3 linked regions of the Saccharomyces cerevisiae S288C genome follow. Changing the gene in region 3 together with the main gene of any one other region gives a genetic interaction. Each region holds a gene or a part of one and is shown on either strand. Other genes may lie near its edges. The genes, in order: AAD4, YGR050C and PST1.

Region 1 (3,367 bases), 540 kb from region 3:
GACTATGTCTCGAACTACACTAATGAATACCTGTCCTGGCCAGAACCAGAAGAGGTTTCTGATCCTTTGGAAGCCCAAAGATTGATGGCTATTCATCAAGAAAAATGCAGACAGGAAGGTACTTTCAAGAGATTGGCTCTTCCAGCTTAAACGCACTTCGTCACTCCTCGAGCGTAGCCTTCCTCTACGACTTGTTTATGATTTCCCATTAGGTTTTTTTTCCTCCCTGATATTTAGATATTTACTATTAAGATATTATTTATGAGCCTTTTATTACAGCTTCTTTTCCCTTGTAATTATCGTACTTGCCTCCAAGTATCGAAAGTCTTGTGTTGCCTCGATTTACCACTTCAAATGCTGTAACCTGCACAATTTACGCCTGAATTAGGTGAGGGATAAAGACTGTTTTTAGGTGCGGCTTATTCAAAAGTATAAAAGTAGATAGCGTGGAATATATAAGGACATATTTCTTACACAAACGCACCAAAAAAGAAATCTGATTAATCGAAGGAAATCTGCGCAGACATTGCCGTGAGAAGTGAAGCCTTCTTGGTAACAGCCGGATCATCACCGATAAAATTAGTAGGAAAACCAACATCAAAAGGAATAATACTTTCTAAGTATTCTATCTGTTCTGGTGTCAGTTTGATACTTAAAGCCTCAATGTTCTGTTTGAGGTGTTCAATTTTCCTTCCACCAACCAATGGGAAAACATTTTTCGCCTTAGAGCGAACATAGGCAATAGCAATAGCAGTAACAGACTCAGTGCCATGTTCCTCAGCAACCTTGGCCAATGCTTCACTGATCTTAACCTCTTTATCCGTCTGTTTAGAAGTACCCGAAACAGTACGCAGACCCTCTCCATTCTTCTTCCGTTCCTCCATTGCTTTTTTACTCTGAAATCTTCCACCTCCCATAACATCCCATGGGGCTAGAGCCATACCAAAATGTCTGGCCATTGGAATGATATCGCGCTCAAAGTCCCTGTTCAACACATTCCATTTACCTTGATAGATACTAAAAGGAGTTTTCCCATGAGATGTGGCGTAGTAGTTTGCCGCAGAAACAACCCAAGCAGGTGTATCAGACACACCCAAATAGAGGACTTTGCCCTGCTGAACTAAAATATGCAAACTATCCATAACTTCTTCGATTGAACTCATATAATCCCACCAGTGAACGTAAAGTATATCAATCCAATCAGTTTGCAATTTGCGGAGAGAATCCCTCACACTCACATGTAAACTATGCTTGTGATTACCACAATAGTTGGCACTTTTACCGCCACCTACTTCATACTTCTTATAATCTCCGGTAAACTTGGTGGCAATTACAATTTGGTCACGCAACTTTCTTGATTTCATCCATTCACCTATCCAAATCTCTGACTCTTCATTTTGGTAACTGTTTGCAGTATCAATGCAATTACCTCCTGCTTCATAAAAAGCATCAAGAAGTTCAAAAGCCTGTTCCTTATTCATAGAGCCCATAAAGCCTGACCATGCATCGCCGATTGAAGCTCCTCCCAGAATTAGCGGTGAAACTCTTATGCCGGCAGTTTTAGAAAGAACCCTGAGACGTCCCAACTCGGTAGGTGGTTCAGGTAGAGGTTTAAATAATTCACTAATATTATTGAATAATATTTTGTAGCTATAGGAAGTGTATTCTAGTGAAATACAAAGCCGCTCAGTCAATTCGTCAGCTGGCCGATGAAAGGAAGAACTGCAACTGTCCTTGATCTGGAAATATTGTCATGACTTTTATATGGTTCAAAAATCTGCCCCCAATTTGTTCGAGGATATTTAGTGCAACTTAGTTGGGTCTTGGAACGAGGTCTGCTTACTAATTTTATGTTGACGGTTGAAAGCGGATTTTAAAACGTATGAATTTAGAAGAGAGCCAATCAAATAGGGGTACGCTTAATATTAAAAAAATATTAGTAATTGTTTGTATGACGAATAAAATTTGTAAGCACCTGATCCAATCCTTATTATTGAGCAAGAGACGTCTTGTTTCTGTACTCTTTGATAACTATCAAGGCGACATGAAACTAAGGTCATCTCCATCTGCCATTCCTCTAGTTCCGTCAACGAAAATTCTTCAAGCTATGGAGGCCCGGAACGACATTGTTGACAGTCTGATCATCAATAGTCACGCAACGGAAAGTGATCGCCGGACTTTAGGAGACCATGAGGTTAGACAATGTGAGGATACCAACTTCGGCTTCAAAATTTGATACAGGTTAATTTTGAAGGCAACATTTAGGTTCGGCCTTATTTAAAAAAACCTTCAGGTACGCGTTCAAGATCCCATTTTAAAGGTATAGGCAGATTGCACTATTTTACCGGCAAATGTGCGAATATCGAAACTGGAAGATGTTTTCAAGAAAATTGATTTAAGATCCATTTGTCGTGTTTAGAGTTCTCATTGTTCTGGTCAATGATTTCAAACTCAAAAGGCACAAGAAACTTACAAAATTTGTTTCTTATGAACATTACGCCATGTTCTTTGCGAGCATGTGCTATACAGTCTTGCTAGAAAATGGCCCTATAATTAGAAAGCTCAAAAAATAACCCAATGCTGCATCGATTTTTGGAGAAAGGGGGTCAATCATCATCTATCTTCATAAATAACGAGTTGCAGAAAAATTGGAAACTGGTTGATTTTGAAAAGTTTTCATTTTTCTGGCAACAAATTATAGCTACAAAAAAAGAAGTTATGGCGCATAAGATGCATCAATATATGGTGTGACCAGATTGGACGTAACTAGTACTCATGTTATTATTCATATCCTTCATTTTTCCTTCTTTTCTTCTCCTTCTCGAACAGTAACTTCAGATTGAAAGACGTGAGGATGCTTTAGAATGCACATTAAAATTAATATACTACTGGCCTCTTGTGTTTGTCATTGGCTTCTATTTTCAATAAAACATCCAGACAACCCTGCTGTTAATTTTGGAAAAAAAATTTCGCCGATTCTAATCATGTGACTCCTTTTCCCCAGGCAATACCGGAGAAAGCGTTCTATCTCAAACTATATAATTTGCGCTGCTCGTCTCCAAGCCCATGCTAGTGTTTACTTTCGGTTGTAAAAGGTAACTAGAAGTTTTAACGCAAGCATTGTATTATATTTTCCCACAATTGCTCTTAAGGACCTTTTTTTTTCTTGCGTGATCCTGCACTATTGAAAAGTCTTTATCAAAAATAGATGAAACTTTTTCAGGGTTCAACATTTAGAGGCTTTTCTCATATTCTTTACTCAGTTGCCTGCGAAGACCCTTCTGCCCGCTGCGCATTTTCTTAGAAAATCAAAAAAATTGCCTTTTCATCTTTTACCTTCCGAGTTGAATATGTTGACTATTTGCAA
Region 2 (2,993 bases), on a different chromosome or scaffold from region 3:
GTACTGCCTCGTATGCTGCAGGCTAACGTGTAGGTCTTCTTCATCATTGTAACCACAGGAGAGCCTTGGTACTACGTATTTCCTGTAAATGAATGCAAATGGATCTTTTTCAAACTCATCGAAATTTTTTAGATGCTGAACCTTCTTTGATTTGGAGACTCTAAAAAGGCAATCGCCGAACATCAGATAAAATATGGTGGCACCCAATGACCAATAGTCAGCTTGGTATGTGTTATACAATGGAGCCGATGACCGATCGAAATTCTTCTTAAAACAAGAGTTACTAACGCGGCCAGAGAAAGTTTCTGGCGCCCTGTAATTATCGGTACCAATCTGGAAGTCGTTAGATTTAGGGGATTGGATAGCGTGACCCCAGTCTGCCAACTTGATGTCACCATTTATCGTTAGCAAAATATTTTCTGGTTTGATATCACGATGAGCAATACCCAAGCTGTGAGCAAAGCTGATTGCTGAGCACAGTTGTTTGATTATCTTTTGCATATCAATTTGAATCAAAGATGGAGACGACGGGCTACCTTGACTCTTAGCAATATCTAGAAAGTCATAAAGATCACCACATTCGCAGTATTCTAGCACCATGATGTAGTACGAGTCATCCGTGTAAAAGTCGAGCATCGAACAGATGTTGGGGTGAGGATTACAAGAACTCAAAATCTTCATTACATCATACTCGTTCTTCATGTTGGCTTCTGAAGTTTTGTATTTAGGAGTAATCTTTAAAGCGACGTAGCGGTTATGTGTAGTACTCCATGCTTTATAAACTGTGCTAAATGTTCCTGATTGTATAGATCTTAGTTTTGTATACATTTTTGCTTTTTATTATTCGGTATATGCTGATAATGATGTGCTTATTTAAATGATTGCGTATACGAGTGAGAATTTGATTCGGAGGGTATGAGAGTCGATCTTGAGTCCTATGTTATATGCTTTTTGTCAGTAACGGGTTATTTAATGCTAAGAATAGTTATTATAAAAGGGAAATTTTTTTGTATTAAGAATAGTCATCACTTACATGTGTATATTATATATATATATATATATGTATTGTACTCGTATTATTATTCTTTGGGGAAAGTATTAGTAGGTAGATGCAACTAAGCTCCGATTTTTCCAAAATTAAGTTGTCCCTTATTGCATGGTCCCCTTAATTATCCTTCCTTTATTGTATGTAACATGAAGCTGCATTTTTGTTCTCAGGCAGCATCATCGTTCCCTTCACCTAACCCTTCTAACTTCCTTTTACCTGTTGCAAGCTGTCTCATACCCGCGCTGAAAAGGCTGAGAACTGGGTATTGTCCCAATATTACGCTCGGCTTTTCTTTTCAAAAACTTTGTATTCCAGATACTTCCATGTGCAATTTCCCTAGTGCTCCCTGTACCAAGCCATCGGAGAGGAGATGCCTTCTAGAATTCAAAGCACGTAAGGGGTACAAAAATCGGAACGGGCCGAAGGCCGAAAAGAGACGGCCGTACGTGAGAGCACATGCAAAGTGGTGAACGGGACGTTACGGAGAATTACGGAACCTCTCAACAGAAGATGCGCCAATAGTCCTTCCGAACTAGCTCCACGGGAGGGGTATGAAGAGCAAGCTTGTTTACGCAGCCTCACCACCGCACCGAAAGACCCTCACGACAGAAATGGAGCGCCTTTAATGACGTTCGTCCGCTGCGGGCCAGAACAGCACAGTTTTGCTTCCCCGTTTCTTTTCCACTATTTCGTCACCCGCTCGAGGTGGCTCGCCCGCTCGGAGGCAAGCTGCACATTCATCGAACACGGAGAGGCACGGGCGAGAGAAAAAAAAGCCTATTGACCTAAACGGATGTCATAATGAAAAGAAGGAATCCGGTTTTCCTGGGCATGACTAAGGTAGCACGACTCAACTGGGCCAGATCGGTTGCTTCTTCCGATATACATGCATTAGATTAAGCCAAAGTAAAATCAAAAGAAAATTTAGCGGATATGAAAACCAATCTAATCTCCTCGTTTGCTTTCCGACCGCATGTAAGGTTCGGCTTTCTTGACTTCGGATATAGCTTAAAGTCGATTCTTGACGTCACTTCGCAATATCATTTCATTCCCATTAAACTGGCGTATGGACTTTGCGATCCTTTATTAATAGTTTATCCGGATCCCAGTTTTAGTTTGGCTCAAGCTGCAGGTGAAAAGAAAAAAGTCGTATTCCCTACGTATGAAGATGTTCCGAAACTACTGTTGACGTTTAAGCAGATTATGAATACGTATAGGAAGGGAAGTTTGGGACAGAGACAGAGACAGAGAGTGTACGGGCGAAATGGGAATGAATCACATTCTACGTAATTTGTCTTTGACTTTCTTAGAGATACGTATATAACTTTTTTTTCTGTGTGAAAAATAAATATTCTCTTATCCAATGTGGACAAGAGCCAAAAATACTCTGCTTTGTATATTTACTAGTTTTTTTGGCCTTTTTTTTCGCTAAACATATATATTAGTCTCGCTTAAATAATTGTGATGTTTGAAGGGAACGTGTCACGTGCTTCGTCGTTCATGCTTTGAATCCATCTAGGATACACTTACCAAAGGTAAAAATTGTTATACCGGTTACAATGCTCATGTGCAATGACATGTATGAGTGACATTTTACGCTTCTTTCGGATTCAGGTTTTAATGTTTTGGCGTTGTTCATCTTTGAGAATGGGCATGCAGCTTCCCCATCTTTGACTTCCGGGTGATGTTGGGGTAATTTTTCATCCTTTTGCTTTTCTAAATCATTTTGGTCACGTGTGCATTTTGGGGCTAGCTTGTGATTGAACAGTGATACTAAGTATAGGTAGGCTGCAGATAATGGGGCGACACCAAGTCCGCACAAAAGGTAGTTTGGTCTTTCTCCTGGTGCAGCTAGATAGTAGCTGAGTCCAAAGGCACCAGTAGCTAAACCACCTAAAACGGTGCTCCAGCATCCTAATGTGCACAAAACATTCTTCAAATGTTG
Region 3 (3,809 bases):
TGATAGTACATCCGATGGGAATGTTACAGTAACAACCGTTAATATACAGGATGTTGAAGTTTCTGGAGAATACTGTTTGAATGCCCAGATTGAAGGTAAGCTGGATATGCCATGTTTTAGCTACATGAAGCTGAGGACACCACTAAAATACGATTTAATTGTGGATGTAGATGAAGATAATGAGGTCAAACAAGTGTCGTTATCATATGACGAGACTAACGATGCTATTACTGCTACAGTCAGATATCCAGAAGCGGGACCTACTGCACCAGTCACCAAATTAAAGAAGAAAACCAAAACTTATGCTGATAAAAAAGCTAGTAAGAATAAGGATGGAAGCACTGCACAATTCGAAGAAGATGAAGAGGTTAAGGAGGTGTCTTGGTTTCAAAAGAACTGGAAAATGTTACTTTTAGGCCTATTGATTTACAATTTTGTTGCGGGCTCAGCAAAGAAGCAACAACAAGGAGGTGCCGGAGCTGATCAAAAGACTGAGTAAATAAAGTATTGTGATTTTTTAAATTTTTAAGTGTCGTTACTTTTATCTCTTTCCCGAAAATATTTGAATACATAAAATTTTTAAATAAATGTTTTTATTTGTTCACATGTCGTGAATGACAGGTACTAGTTATCAAAAATGAAGAATATTTCTTCATTCCATTACATTATAGACATGATGATTGCCGTCAAAAGACCGACCAAAGGGGTTGTTTGGCCAATTGGTGCCATGATAGCGGCATTGCCTTTGGAACTCTTAGAGCTAGAGCTGGAAGCGCCAGAACTAGAAACACTAGAGGCAGAAGCAGCAGCCTTGATATCGCCAGAAGTGAACTTCTTTTCCTCGGCCTTAGAAGATGACTTGGAAACCTTGGCAGTAGTTTGGCTTGATTGAGATTTGGAAGTGGACGATAGTTTAACAGATGTGGATGATGCACCATTTTTGCAGACAAAAGATTCACCCTTGATACCCCCTTTCTTTTGCAAAGCTTTCAAAGCATTACAGGAGAAATTGCTTGACTTTGATTCGACATCTGCGCCACCCTTGACAGACTTCAAAGAGTCTAGGTTCAAGGAGGTGAAGTTACCAACAACTTCCAAAGTACCGCCAATGGTTGTTAGGTTGTCGAGACCACCAATTTTTTGTAAACCAGTGTTGTTAGCAACGACAAGAGCACCACCTATGGTTGACAAATTAGAGAACGACAAGTTCTTCAAGTAGTCATTGGAAACGATACTGAAGGTTTGGCCAATGGTGTTTAGCTTAGTGAAATTCAAACTTGAGATGGAGTTGTTGATGAAACCCAATGAAGAGTTAATCTTTTGCAAGTTAGCGAAGGAAACAGAGTGGACATCGGTCAAACTGATATTGTTTGCCCAAACCAAGTCATCGAAGGTGATTTTAGTCTGGTTACCGTTGAACGAAAATTGTAAAGAATCGCTGACTGTTTCAACTGGAGATTTGATCGAGGTTAATTTCTTATTGTTATTGACGTTGAACACGTTAACTTTTTTCAAGGCTGAGAATCCATCGACAGATTGTAACGAAGTGTCGGAAATATAAATGTTGTTAGCAGATTTGATATTTGAAGTAAAACTGGAGATGGCGGGTAGAGTAATCAGTTTTATACTATCAACGCTCTGTAAAGACCCAAATGAAGCAGAAGTCAAGATTGTCAAACTCTGTAGGTTCAAAGAATCTGTGATGGACTCCAAGGAATCAGCAGCGAATGAGGTTAGATTTGTAGCGTTAAATATAGTTAGAGACCCGTTGATTTCTTTAACATTAGCCAAAGCACCAGTCTTCAAACCACCACCAATAGTTAAGTTCCCGACTAACGTATCACAGCGGCTATATTTATCTAAGTCACTCTGAGCTGTGGCCGTGGCATGTGAGCTTATGGTACAGGAAGAGGGTATGCTGGAAGAAGAGGAAGTAGCAGCCAAAGCTGACGTTATTAAGAGCGCAGTTGAAGCGATAAGTGAATGTAATTGCATGATATTTTTATAGCGAGCTTTTTTTTTTTGCTTCTCTCTTGGATTAGATCTATTGCAGCGTGATGTACTGTAAGATTCTATTGAACTATACAGAGCAAGAGTTGAATAGAGAAGAATATGCACGCTATTTATATGTTTATCTGTAGAGCATATATGGGTTTGCTCGTAAGGAACCTTGAGCGGTTGAATGATATTACTTAGAGTTAATGCTATGAAAACCCAGCCCAATCATTCAACATTACTCTTTGTAGTAATAAACTCTGATCAAAGTCCGAATCAGGGCAGTGTGCCTACGCTATTTTTAGAGACTCGTAACACTATTAAAACTAAAAGCCCTCTCTACTAATTAAGATATCCCAGCTTTGTGGTCTTTTTTGGGTTTCTTTGGTTTTTTTCCCTCAAGGATACCGAAAATGCGGGCCTTAATTTAAAGCCTTTTCCGTAAAGAGAAAACAAAAATGAGTTGGCGGGTCAACGGGGAGTGCTATTTTAAACGACTCAAATACATTTGAAAAAGAAAAAAATAGCCGCCCAGCTCCCACGTGCATATCACGTGCATTATAACCCGGTTTTCAGATAATAGAAATCCGCTCACTCTATTTATTTAAACGCTTTCTTTCTTTTTTTTTCTATTTATGGGGCCCACCCGCGGAAGAAAAGAAAAGCGGGCAATTACTAATGCGGGTTCAGTCCAAAGGAGATTTGATGTGGCAATAGCATCATAATGATGGAACCTACGTTAAGTGCGTTAAATAGGGAGAACTGTTTGTCACTTTATTCTTGTATACCGCTCTTAGTAATGATTTGTTTATGCTCTTTATCGTAACCTGCGCTTACAAAACTAACCACGTGCAGCATCGTCTTGTGTTTGTCCGTCCCTTGGGGTTCTTCGGATTTTCTATCTCCTCTTTTTTTTTCCTTACACTTTCATTTTGGGAAAAATTCGATTCTTTTTCTTTGATTTTTTTTTGGTTTCCTCTTGAATCTGTAAAGAACAAGAGCAGAAACTTAAAGTTAAGAAGGACAATAAAGAGCATACTATTACAAAATAATAGGAGCTTTGCGTTTGTTATTTCAGTCGAATAGTACTCCTTTATACTCTCTGCCGCTGACATCTTTGTCCTTTACTGTTTAGGACTTATAGCGACTGTTATTTTTTAGTACACCAAACAAGGAAAAAAGAACAATACAACGTAAATATGAGTAGTCGCAAAAGCACCGCTTCTAGCTTACTGTTACGGCAATATAGAGAACTTACTGATCCTAAGAAAGCTATTCCCTCATTTCATATAGAACTAGAGGATGATTCAAATATTTTCACTTGGAACATAGGTGTTATGGTGCTAAATGAGGATTCCATTTATCATGGAGGGTTTTTCAAAGCTCAAATGAGATTTCCGGAAGACTTTCCCTTTTCTCCACCACAGTTTCGATTTACGCCGGCTATCTACCATCCAAACGTTTACAGGGATGGCAGGCTTTGTATTTCTATTTTACATCAAAGTGGGGATCCTATGACCGACGAACCTGATGCTGAAACGTGGTCCCCCGTGCAGACCGTGGAAAGTGTGTTGATCTCTATAGTATCTCTATTAGAGGACCCCAATATCAACTCGCCAGCAAATGTCGATGCCGCTGTTGATTACAGAAAGAACCCTGAACAATACAAGCAAAGAGTCAAAATGGAAGTGGAAAGATCGAAACAAGATATCCCTAAAGGTTTCATAATGCCCACTTCTGAATCGGCGTACATATCTCAAAGTAAACTAGATGAACCAGAATCGAATAAGGATATGGCGGATAATTTTTGGTAT

Evidence for each region.
Region 1: mutations in PST1 (region 3) and AAD4 together harm fitness more than expected from each alone (negative genetic interaction), as found in Saccharomyces cerevisiae (one large-scale study listed by BioGRID).
Region 2: mutations in PST1 (region 3) and YGR050C together harm fitness more than expected from each alone (negative genetic interaction), as found in Saccharomyces cerevisiae (one large-scale study listed by BioGRID).

What each region holds. Positions count from the first base shown.
Region 1 is NC_001136.10:17,077-20,443, forward strand, and holds AAD4 (putative aryl-alcohol dehydrogenase), read right to left. Parts: upstream 1,491-3,367; coding exon 501-1,490; downstream 1-500. Other genes in the region: THI13 (4-amino-5-hydroxymethyl-2-methylpyrimidine phosphate synthase), read left to right, coding at 1-150; YDL242W (uncharacterized protein), read left to right, coding at 1,883-2,236.
Region 2 is NC_001139.9:591,431-594,423, reverse strand, and holds YGR050C (uncharacterized protein), read left to right. Parts: upstream 1-1,981; coding exon 1,982-2,338; downstream 2,339-2,993. Other genes in the region: protein kinase FMP48, read right to left, coding at 1-828; SCM4 (Scm4p), read right to left, coding at 2,547-2,993.
Region 3 is NC_001136.10:561,713-565,521, reverse strand, and holds PST1 (Pst1p), read right to left. Parts: upstream 1,996-3,809; coding exon 661-1,995; downstream 1-660. Other genes in the region: EMC10 (Emc10p), read left to right, coding at 1-499; SCF E2 ubiquitin-protein ligase catalytic subunit CDC34, read left to right, coding at 3,195-3,809. UniProt on the Saccharomyces cerevisiae protein: Has a partially redundant function to ECM33 in cell wall integrity. May be involved in a repair mechanism activated in response to cell wall damage.